3 linked regions of the Macaca mulatta genome follow. The protein of the gene in region 1 binds, or shares a complex with, the protein of each later gene. Links are inferred from orthologs where the notes say so. Each region holds a gene or a part of one and is shown on either strand. Other genes may lie near its edges. The genes, in order: IGF2BP1, ELAVL4 and G3BP1.

Region 1 (4,387 bases):
GTTTCCGCCTTGTTAAGGGGACTCCACAATTTCTGGGGGTCGACCCCTCCTTTTTCCCCGTTCCCTGGGCGAGGGGCTTCCAGGGTCTCCGGGCCGCGCTCTCCGCCACCCCTGGCGCCATCCCAGCCCCCGCCGCTAGAAACTCGTTGCTCTCGCTCGCCGCTCCGCCGTGGAGCCAGGGCTTGCGAGTGGACCGCGCGTCCCGCTCTCCGCCGCGTATCCGGGACTCCGAAACGCGCGGCGAGCAGCCCCCTCCCCCACCGCCCAGACGGGGGTGCGACCGCCCACGTGTCGCCCCTTGCCCAGTCGGGTCCTTCCCTCGGGCTCCCGGAGCTGGAGGATCCGGAATGAGTTGGTCAAAGCCGAGGGAAGGGACCCGGGCGGATCCGCTTCCCCCTCCCCAGGAACGGCGGGAGGGGGAGAGGAGGGGCCACCGCCCCCTCCCCTAAGCTCCCGCCCCTCGCTTCCCAGTGGGCCGAGCGGAAATTACCCCCTCCCCCCGCGGGTCTGACCTGGGGACGTGGGCGGGGCTTCGCGCTTAGCCCCCCGCCCTCCGTCCCTCTCCCGCCTTCCCGCCGGGTTCGGAATCCTGCACCCCAAACAAAGTTCCGAGACCCGAACCTAGGGCCCAGAGAGCTGCCAGCAGTGTCCTGGGTGGTGCGGGCGCTGGAAACTCCACCTGTCTGTCCCCGACTCGGAGGGAAAAGGGGACCATTCAAATCTCCACCCGGTCACTCCCTCCCTAAGACCTCCCCCTTCGGTTCGCTCGGGTTAGCCCTAGCTATCACCCCTCTTCCTTCTGTCCCACTGTCCCTCTCTCCTGGGGTCATCTCCGGCCAGTTCCGCGAGTTCCCCCCAGGACCCCGTAACGTTATCATTTAACAGCCGGACCCCGGGTGCGAACCACCCTTTCTCCCGTGGGGATCTCAAAACATGATTTCCCGCGGCTTCCTCGTTCTCCACTGGGATCCCCCGTGTTCCCAGCTTCCCAGTCCCGCGCTCGCAGGGTCCCCCGGTCGTGCATCCCCGGAGGCGGGGGAGTTTAGTGGGGCTGGGGTGGTGAAGGCAGAGACCCCCCCATTTAAACATCTAGGGAAAAGGTGGCTTTCTTTTTAAATCACCAGCTCGTGCGACCCTCTCCTGAAGACCCCAGAGTCTTCGGCTTCTCTTTGTCTATCTCGGCCGTCCCCCGCCTGTCAGTCGCTAGCAGTTAACCGGGGTGGGGTGAGCAACCCCGCCCCCCAAAACGAATAAAAAATAACCGTACATTTTACCCTTTAAGACCTGGGAGATCTGGGCTGGACCATCCTCCCCCAGTTCGGGCTGGGGTAGGGGGATGGGTGGGGGCGGGGCGCTTCCCTAGGGGCCAGGTTCTTGCAAAGGGGGAAGGGGCCATAGAGCTTCAGGGACGCTGCCCCACCGCCCCAGTTTACCACGGGGGTGAGTTAAGTTCTCCACCCTCAGGCGGGAGATTGCTGGGTTTGGCCGGAGGGCCGAGGGGCCCTGTGGCGTCGGGGGTCTTCCCCTGCAGGGTGGGTGGGGGCTGTCACCACGTGGCTTCTCCTTTTTTTTTTTTTTTTTTCCGCTCCATTTTTTTTCAAGTCGATTTTATTTAGAGGCGGCGCCAGGGCGGCCGCGGAGAAACGTGACACACCAGCCCTCTCGGAGGGGTTTCGGACCGAAGGGAAGGAGCTGCGCCGCGTCGTCCGTCTCCCTGCGCGCCGCGGGCACTTCTCCCGGGCTCTCCCCGAACTCTCCCGCGACCTCTGCGCGCCCTCAGGCCGCCTTCCCCGCCCTGGGCTCGGGACAACTTCTGGGGTGGGGTGCAAAGAAAGTTTGCGGCTCCTGCCGCCGGCCTCCCCGCCTCTCGGCCTAAGAGGCTTGCCGCCCGCGTCCACTCGTTTGGCCTTGCCCGGGACCGCGTCCTGCCCCGAGACCGCCACCATGAACAAGCTTTACATCGGCAACCTCAACGAGAGCGTGACCCCCGCGGACTTGGAGAAAGTGTTTGCGGAGCACAAGATCTCCTACAGCGGCCAGTTCTTGGTCAAATCCGGCTACGCCTTCGTGGACTGCCCAGACGAGCACTGGGCGATGAAGGCCATCGAAACTTTCTCCGGTAAGAGCACAGCCACCTCCCGGAAAAGCCACAACGAAAGCCCCGAACAACGGAGACCCGCACCTTCCGGTTCCTCTCCCGCCAACTCCTCTCTTCCCGGGCCTGCGGGGCTTGGCCTCTGTACCCAACCTCGACCTACCCCCTTCGATGCCCCCTCCCTCGCTCTGCGCCCCCCACCCCCGCGCAGAAACATTCGGGATTTCCTCATCCCTTCCTCCCAGCCCGAGATAAGCAGCTCTGGCTTCCCCCATCCCTCCTCCCCACCGACGGGGCGGGAGCCCCCACTGGCAGTAGTGGGGGGGTGGATTTAGGGACACGGAGATGACCCCCGGCTGGGCGTTATTTCCACGTCCAGCCCCTCCCTGTCCGCCGGTGGACGGCCCCCCAGCTGGAAAACCCTGGCTCTCCTTCCTCAGTCTTAGGCCTTTCCAGGCGTGGAAGGGGTCCCCCGGACCGCTTGCGATCTCTCCGTTTAGCGTGGGGAATGCAGCCCTCTAGCAGGACTTGCAAGGAAGGGGGTCCTGCCTCCTGCCTAGGGCCTGGGGCTTGAGCCATTTTGATTTGAAAGTGGGGCGTGAGCGGAGTGGCGCGGCGGCGGCGGCGCCGGGTCGCCATGCTGCTTCCCGAGACGCCGAGGCTGGGCCGAGAGGCGCGCGCGGCGGCAGCCAGGCACCCTCCCCGCCGGGCCCCGCTCCGCTCCCCCAGGTCCACCTCTTCCCAAACCAGTCCCGACAGGTGACCGCTCCGCGGCTCCAAGCCCTTCTTCCTGGCCAACAGAGAAAAATAAAGTTTCGTTCTGTACACCGCCTCCCGCCCCGCGCCCCACTTTCTGAGGAACGGGGAGCCCTTTCTCTCCTAGCTCCTTCTCCCCACATCTGGGAGCAATGTAGGCAGCGCAACCACACAAATGGCCTCGCACCTTTCCCAAATCGGGATTCCAGAGCGATCCACTCAACGAGCCTCAGTGATTAAATAAAGCAAAAATTAAAAAATGAATAATAACGAATTTATAGACTCCACCATTCCTAGAGCAACCTTTTTCCCATCTGGCTGCAGAAGCCACTGCCTGGATTCCTAGGAAGATCTCGAATCCCAGTAACTCCTGAATTAGCCTAGTGTCTTTCCCCTTCCTCTTCCCACCCCCAACCCCTGTTCACGCTCTCATGGTAATTTTTTTTTTTTTAAATCTTTAGGGAAAGTAGAATTACAAGGAAAACGCCTAGAGATTGAACATTCGGTGCCCAAAAAACAAAGGTAGGAAAGAGCTCTTTTCTGGGGGGGTGGGGGGGCCGCGGGGGTGTGCTGAGAAGCTGTGTTCAGGGGTCCATAGCGTCTCCAGTGGAAGAAACCCATTACTGGTCTTTCCCACCCCCAACTCCGGATGTTGGGGGCAGGGAGGGAAGATTGGCCAAGATCTTGTAATGGGTGGTTTACAGCTTGTAAAAAAAAATAAGTTGGGGCTGGGGTGGGCTAAAAGATGTTGCTTGTAGAATTAAAGGGGAAAGAAAATCAATAGGGGAGAAACCTTTTGGAGTTTGTTCAACTTGTGGGGCCGTTTTTTGTGGTGAACCTTAAAATCTTCGAAGAGTTCAGACTCAGGGCGATTTCTGCAACTTCGTAGCAGGCCTCATTTTCTGTTTTTCCCACTCTTTCCACACCATAATTCTTAAGTGGATTGCCCTTCTACTCCTAAGTGATGTGGAATCAGTTTCCCGTCCCCCAAAGAATCCCCTTATGCTTGTATTTTATTTATATTTCTGCAACAGGCAAAGACTTTATTTTCCATGGACCCCCCCACCCCCAATCCCTCATATTTCACATCATCCTTCTCCCCAACTGGATTTTCCAAAGAATATGCCTTGGCTGTACTATCCTTTTCGAGCCCCCCTACCCCCACTCCTTCAGCCCATTGTTACAAGGGGACCATCTGGGGTGAGAGCTTTGTGTTGAGGCTGTGAGCTGGGGCTCTTTGGAGGGTCTAGAACTCCGTGGATGAATTGAATGGGGTGTGTGTGTGTGTGTGTGTGTGTGTGTGTGTGTGTGTGTTCCAGTACCCTCTCTCTATTCTCTCTCTTCAGCAAAATGGGGTACCTCCATCATGCTTACCGAGAATTCATGGTGGATTTCAAATATTGCATTGAACTCTGAAATCTTTCCTTGAACTCTGGCTGGGAAGTGTAAGGGCAGAGTCTTTCCACTTTTCTCAAATCAGACTTTAAACATGTTGACAGTGTAGAGTTTGCTCTCATGTCCCAAGTTGAAAAGCAG
Region 2 (2,661 bases), on another chromosome or scaffold:
CTATGATACTAAGATATGTAAATAATTTCGTAGCACCTACTGCTCAAACTAAGGAAGTTTTAGATCAAAAGGAAAATTAATCTTTTTAATTTTTGTTCTGCTGACATCCCATACTGATGACTTAAAGAAAAACTGTCTTTCAACTCATCTCCTTGCTTTTGGGTTTTGACTGTGGGGAACTGTGGTACCCTGGGTAGAACGAACACTCCTTTCCCCTAGTAATTAATAATTGTTTTTTAATTATTATTACATGCTATGAAAAGATATGAAGATCATCTGTTTATAGCCCATCCTTCAAAAAACAGTCTACGAATCCAGTTTAAAACACACATCTTGATCTCTAAAAAGTTACCAGTGCAGTATGAACGCGACAAAGTTGTCAATTTCCCCTAAATTAGCCAGTCAAAATATTTTTTTCTCAAATCCAGATTCTCTTGTAAAAATTCTTTATATTTTATAAAAATAGATTTTTCTTGAAACCCATTTTCAGCAAAGAGACCACCTCTTTGGCAACAATGTTAATGTTATTAAATTGTTAATGTCATCAGGTATCCCCCTTGCCCCCATCCCCTAACAGAAGACTGTTTTAGTTCACATGATATAAAAGAAAAAAGGAAAAATAAAAAAATTTGCAAAAGTTTTTTTTTTTTAATTTTTGCAATTTTTATTATTCCTCTTTAATTTGTGTGGGGGTTTTTACCAATCTGATTGGATCGACATTTTGACAAAAAAGAAAAATCTTTTTTTCCTTTCTTTGAATCCCATTACTTTGTAAAAATTGTTTTATTTTTATTATTTTTTTTGTTTTTTGTTTTTCTTCTTCAAATGAGCGAATGGTCATCTTAAAAAGATCCACCTTCAAGGAAGGTAGTAAAGTTAGCTGGCTGGGTAAAAATCCCTGCACATCGCTATCTATGTATATTATATTCAACAACGACAGCTATGAAAGAACATTCAATGCATCAAAGGTATTTTTTTGTTTTTTTTTTTTCTTTTTTTCTAAGCATTATAAAATCCTTTCCTGGTACACCTCAGGATAATCCAATGTTTTAATACTTAGGCAACACTGGCTTATAAAGTCCATGGTTGAATATAAGCCTTGAAAAGTTTGTTTCTCTCTCTTTTGTGTATGTGTGTGTGTGCGCGCGTGTGTTTTGTTCGTATATATTTCTATATATATTTTAGTAAGTAAGAATGGGAAATTCAGGACTTGTGGGCTTTGTTGGTTTTAAAGGAAACTTGCAACACTCTGTCTCCCAGGCGGTACCCGTTGAGGCTGGCGATGGCCATGGCCGCCTCATCATAGTTGGTCATGGTGACAAAGCCAAATCCCTTGCACTTGTTGGTGTTGAAGTCACGGATCACCTTGACGTTGTTCACTGCTCCAAAGGGGCCAAAGAGCTGCCAGAGGACACTCTCATCGGAATCAGGGGACAGGTTGTAGACAAAGATGCACCACCCAGTTCCTGTGTGACCAGGGATGTTCATTCCCACAAGGCTTGTCATTCCATCAATGGTAATTGGGGAGAACCTGGGGGGACAAGCAGAAGGGGGGACTGGTCCAGACATCAGTCTGACCAAGGATAACACACAGATGCACAGACACAGACACGGGGCAGAGGGCTGAGTGAGTGTTTGCAGGAGAGTCTTCAGGGTTCAAAAACCAAAATGTAAAAACTAATGTCTATGTCATTTCCTCTGATGGGAATGGCTTGACTGGCTAGGGTATGTTCATGCTGAGAGAAAGATCTAGGTCCATTTCTAAAAACCATGAGGGACTCCCAGGGCTCCCAGAGCAAGGCTCTATAATAGTTCTATCACAGTAGATGCTCAGAGCGCACCCCACCCTGACTCCACCCCACCCCAACAATAGACAATGTGCTCTTGGGGGAAAGGGTCTATTTCATTCATTCTGTGGCCCTATTTGTTTATGCAGTGGAGCACATATGGGAATCTCACAGATACAGTGACACATAGAAAATGCTCAATAAATATTTATTGGTTGAATAAGTGACTAACTTTGGCCAGTGCTTGGGAAATTTCATTTTTTTTTTTAAAGGCAGATTAGGAGATGGCCCTAAAGTGCTTAAGTCTACCATTTTTGCATTCCCTTGACCTATGGTTGTCAAAGGTTTCTTGGTGAGGATGGAGATACTTGACAATGAACAGGCATGTCTTGCTATTAAACAGATGGGTGGTTCATGTTTCATTTAGCATTTATCCAAAAGGGTTTCCCCTACAAACTCAAGCAATAATAATAAAGATGTATTACTCCTTTATGCTATGTTATCTGGAATTTATTCCTAAGCATCATTGGAGCAAGACTTCAAGTGGTTTGTGCATTTATATATCTTGAATCGCTGTACATTAGAAAAACATAAAATTGTTATTTGCCCTATTACAACTGCTTTTGTATTAGGCTTAGAAATCTTCTCAGTTTTTGTGTAATCCTGAAAAGAAAAAAATGACCCTTTAAATTCGATTCACTGTCTGATGAAATAAATCCTTGTGTGATTTGTGATGGATGCACCAGATGAAACAACTAGGTTACCAGTGCCTACAGCAGAACAATATTTGTTAATGTCTTGTTTCACATCAAAGCTTATATAGGGATTTTTTATTTTTTATTTTTGGGATGGAGTCTCACTCTGTCACCCAGGC
Region 3 (3,651 bases), on another chromosome or scaffold:
GTGCTAGGATTACAGGTGTGTGCCCAGCCCCTCTGCAGTTTTAACAGCATTCCTGGTTTGATTTATGTGGAATTTTAAGAATTGTATTCTGAATCATAACTAATATATTTTCTCCCCCAAATTCTTTACGTATTTGAAAGTTTTTGTGTGTTTGTGTTAAAAGCCACATATCATAAAATTTGCCATCTTAACCTTTTTTTTTATCTTAACCATTTTTAAATATAAAGTATAGTAGTGTTAACTGTATAGATACGGTTGTATGACAGATCTCTAGGACTTTTCACCTTACAAATCTTATTGAAGATAACTTCATATACCTTACAAACAGACTGTACCCATTGAATGGCAACTTTCTTTTCCCCCTCCCCCAGCCTATTTTGAGAGTTTTTCTGATGTTGTATGCTAAATGAATTGTAATGATTGTGGGATTCCAGCCATAAAGTGGTTTGGTTCATTTTGATGTCCTGATTCATTTGCTTATCAGAATTTGCCCAAATGGATTCCAGTGAAGTTATTGAGTGGCATTTTAAAAATTACTTTTTAAAAACTCAGATATACAATTCTTAGCTTTTTTTTTTTTTTTTTTTGAATAGAGGGAGCTAACTCTATGTTCTGGTTTCTGGTTAATAAATGATGGGGAATTTTTTGCGAAATAAATGGTGGCAGAATGATATTTCTCAAATTTTTCCATCAAAGTAATGACATGGAAGAACATTTAGAGGAGCCTGTTGCTGAACCAGAGCCTGATCCTGAACCAGAACCAGAACAAGAACCTGTATCTGAAATCCAAGAGGAAAAGCCTGAGCCAGTATTAGAAGAAACTGCTCCTGAGGATACTCAGAAGAGTTCTTCTCCAGCACCTGCAGACATAGCTCAGACAGTACAGGAAGACTTGAGGGTATGAAACATGTCTTCATTTTTATTCTATTTCTAGTTATTTTTTAAAAAAGAGAAATCTCTGTTCTGTATTGCTGTTCGGTTGACTTTTGTAGATACATTTTCATATTGGTGGTTCATTTCAGGGAAATTTCTTAGATATTGAGCCATGCCTTTGATAAGAGAGAGGTAAGATGTGTATTAGTTTATTTCATCAAAAAAAACCACTCCCTTCCCCTAGGTAACTTGAATGCCTGTTAGACTAGAAAGTTTAGGTGCCACTGTAGCACCGTGTCAGTGATTCCTTATCTTTTTAATATTCAAGCTTTTACACTATAAATTATTACATGCTTGTTACTACAAATTTATAACATCTTTTTAAGGAAAACAACATGGCAGAATATACTTTTTCTATGAAATTTTTTTGAAGATAACTTTATAGTGGAAGTAGGAATGAACTGCTGAAGTAAGATTTCTTTGCTAGTTGGCATACCTGATTTCGGAAGTTTTCAGTTTGTCCTCCTGAGTCTTATTAGGGTGTTGTTAACTGAACTCATGAAACCTTTACATTTGGCACTCTGAGAAGGAATATAATTTTTAGTGCTGTATTGATAGGCTCAGGGTTATGTCATTTGTTTGTTCAACAATTAATTCAAATTCCTGCTGTGTGTTAGGCATTGTTCAAAGTGTAGGTATTGGCAAAACAGATAGGGGTTCTTGCTCTCTGGCAGCTAATAGGTGAGTAGGAAAGAGCAATGTTGAAATGACTTTAGCTTGCAAGTGGAAAAAATTAGCTGGTCATGGTGATGCCTATGTGTGATCCCAGCTGCTTGGGAGGCTGAGGGAGGAGGATTGCTTAGCCTGGGAAGTCAAGGCTGCAGTGAGCTGTGATTATGTCACTGCATTCCAGCTTGGGAGACAGAGTAAGACCTTGTCACAAGAACAAAACAATAAGAAGCAAGTGGGAAAGTAGTTTGACTGGACCAGATGACCACTTAGTTGGTTATTATAGTAAACCTAGTAAGAGAGGATGATGGTTTGAATTAGAGTTGTGGCAGTGGAAATGGAAAAGAAATAATTAGGTAGAATAACAGGTTGTGACAATTTTTAAATGTGTGAGAAAGGTGTTCATGATGATTCTACAGTTGATATAATTGAGTCAATGTTTGTACCATGGATTGGATTGAATGACAGCAGGAAGAGCTGAGCTGATTTTGGAGGAGAGGGAATTTTGTTTGATTCACAAATTTGAATGAAAGTAGCTTTCCTTGGGCCAGGCGTTGTGGCTCACGCATTTAATCCCAGCACTTTGGGAGGCAGAGGCCAGGAGGATTGCTTGAGTTCAGGAGTTAAAGACCAGCCTGGTCAATACAGTGAGACTTCATCTCTGCTAAAAAGAAAAAATAGCTGGATATGGTGGCACATGCCTGTAGTTTCAGCTGCTTGGGAAACAGGTGGGAGGATCACTTGAGCACAGGAGATGGAGGCTGCCGCGAGCTGTGTACATGCCACTGCATTCCAAAAAAAAAAAAAAAGTGAGTAGTTTCTTGAACCTAAGCCTCTCAGATTTGCCTGATCATCAGTCCCAAGGAATTTCAATACTAAATTTTGAATAGCTGGAAGAGAAGAATCTTAATATATGTATAAACTCCATCCTGCCTGTGAGAATGTGTTACCATTTGTTTTGTACAGGAAATCAAGAGTTAGTAGCTTTTATATTGTTTTGATACATGGTATAATTATGTAATGTTGGTATTGCTCCCTTAGACGTTTTCTTGGGCATCTGTGACCAGTAAGAACCTTCCACCCAGTGGAGCTGTTCCAGTTACTGGGATACCACCTCATGTTGTTAAAGTACCAGCTTCACAGGTAAGGTCTTAATAAAACTTGTACATTAGGCAAGTGTACTTATATTTTGGTAATTTGATTCAACAGAGGTTTAGAGAGTGTGAAAACTGGTCAGGTGCAGTGTGGCTCATGCCTGCAATCCCAGCACTTTAGGAGGCTGAAGCCAGCTGATCACTGGAGCCTACCAGTTTGAAACCAATTCAGGCAACATAGTGAGACCCTGTCTCTACAAAAAATAAGAAATTAGCCGGGCCTTGTGGCATGCATTTGTAGTCCTAGTTAATTAGGAAGCTGAGGTGGGAGGATTGCTTGAGTTCAGGAGGTTGAGGCTGCAGTGAGTCATGATTGTGCCACTGGACTGCATCATGGGCAACACAGTGAGACTCTGGCTCAAAAAAAAAAAAAAAAAAAACAACCCAAATCAATGTAGAAACAAAACTGATATATAAGACAGAAGAGAAGGGTATAAGGTGGTTTTTAATGATTTTTCTTGTTAGGGAATTGTCCATTTTCTAGTTTAAAACTTGTTAGCTAAGAAACTTCATTAAGAAAAAGGATAAGCCTGCTTTGTTTTAACACAAAAGTTAACTTAAAATTTTTCAGCCCCGTCCAGAGTCTAAGCCTGAATCTCAGATTCCACCACAGAGACCTCAAAGGGATCAAAGAGTGCGAGAACAGCGAATAAATATTCCTCCCCAAAGGGGACCCAGACCAAGTAAGAGCTCAGAAGGGCGATTTCTCGTTTGGGGGATTTTGAGGTGAGAGCTTATTTTGGGAGGGCAGTTGATATTTATATACTTTAAAATAAAAATATTGTAGGGTTGATGGAATTGCCTGTTTTTACGGTAGAGGGAAAACTATTGAATGTGAGCAGTCACTGAAAGATGTCTTCTTTCTCTTACCTTTAATTGATGTTTTTGTCTCCTT

The links.
Region 2: IGF2BP1 (region 1) and ELAVL4 share a complex: the UniProt entries of both Homo sapiens proteins name them as parts of the TAU mRNP complex. The link is inferred for Macaca mulatta from reciprocal best matches to the Homo sapiens genes IGF2BP1 and ELAVL4.
Region 3: IGF2BP1 (region 1) and G3BP1 share a complex: the UniProt entries of both Homo sapiens proteins name them as parts of the TAU mRNP complex. The link is inferred for Macaca mulatta from reciprocal best matches to the Homo sapiens genes IGF2BP1 and G3BP1.

The regions. Positions count from the first base shown.
Region 1 is NC_133421.1:61,007,881-61,012,267, reverse strand, and holds the start of IGF2BP1 (insulin-like growth factor 2 mRNA-binding protein 1), read left to right. Parts: upstream 1-1,578; 5' UTR 1,579-1,944; coding exon 1,945-2,119; intron 2,120-3,312; coding exon 3,313-3,373; intron 3,374-4,387. UniProt on the Homo sapiens protein: RNA-binding factor that recruits target transcripts to cytoplasmic protein-RNA complexes (mRNPs). This transcript 'caging' into mRNPs allows mRNA transport and transient storage.
Region 2 is NC_133406.1:190,463,080-190,465,740, forward strand, and holds the end of ELAVL4 (ELAV-like protein 4), read right to left. Parts: intron 1,574-2,661; coding exon of another isoform or gene 1,532-1,573; coding exon 1,204-1,531; 3' UTR 505-1,203; downstream 1-504. UniProt on the Homo sapiens protein: RNA-binding protein that is involved in the post-transcriptional regulation of mRNAs. Plays a role in the regulation of mRNA stability, alternative splicing and translation.
Region 3 is NC_133411.1:160,738,303-160,741,953, forward strand, and holds part of G3BP1 (ras GTPase-activating protein-binding protein 1), read left to right. Parts: intron 1-696; coding exon 697-898; intron 899-2,643; coding exon 2,644-2,745; intron 2,746-3,327; coding exon 3,328-3,439; intron 3,440-3,651. UniProt on the Homo sapiens protein: Protein involved in various processes, such as stress granule formation and innate immunity. Plays an essential role in stress granule formation.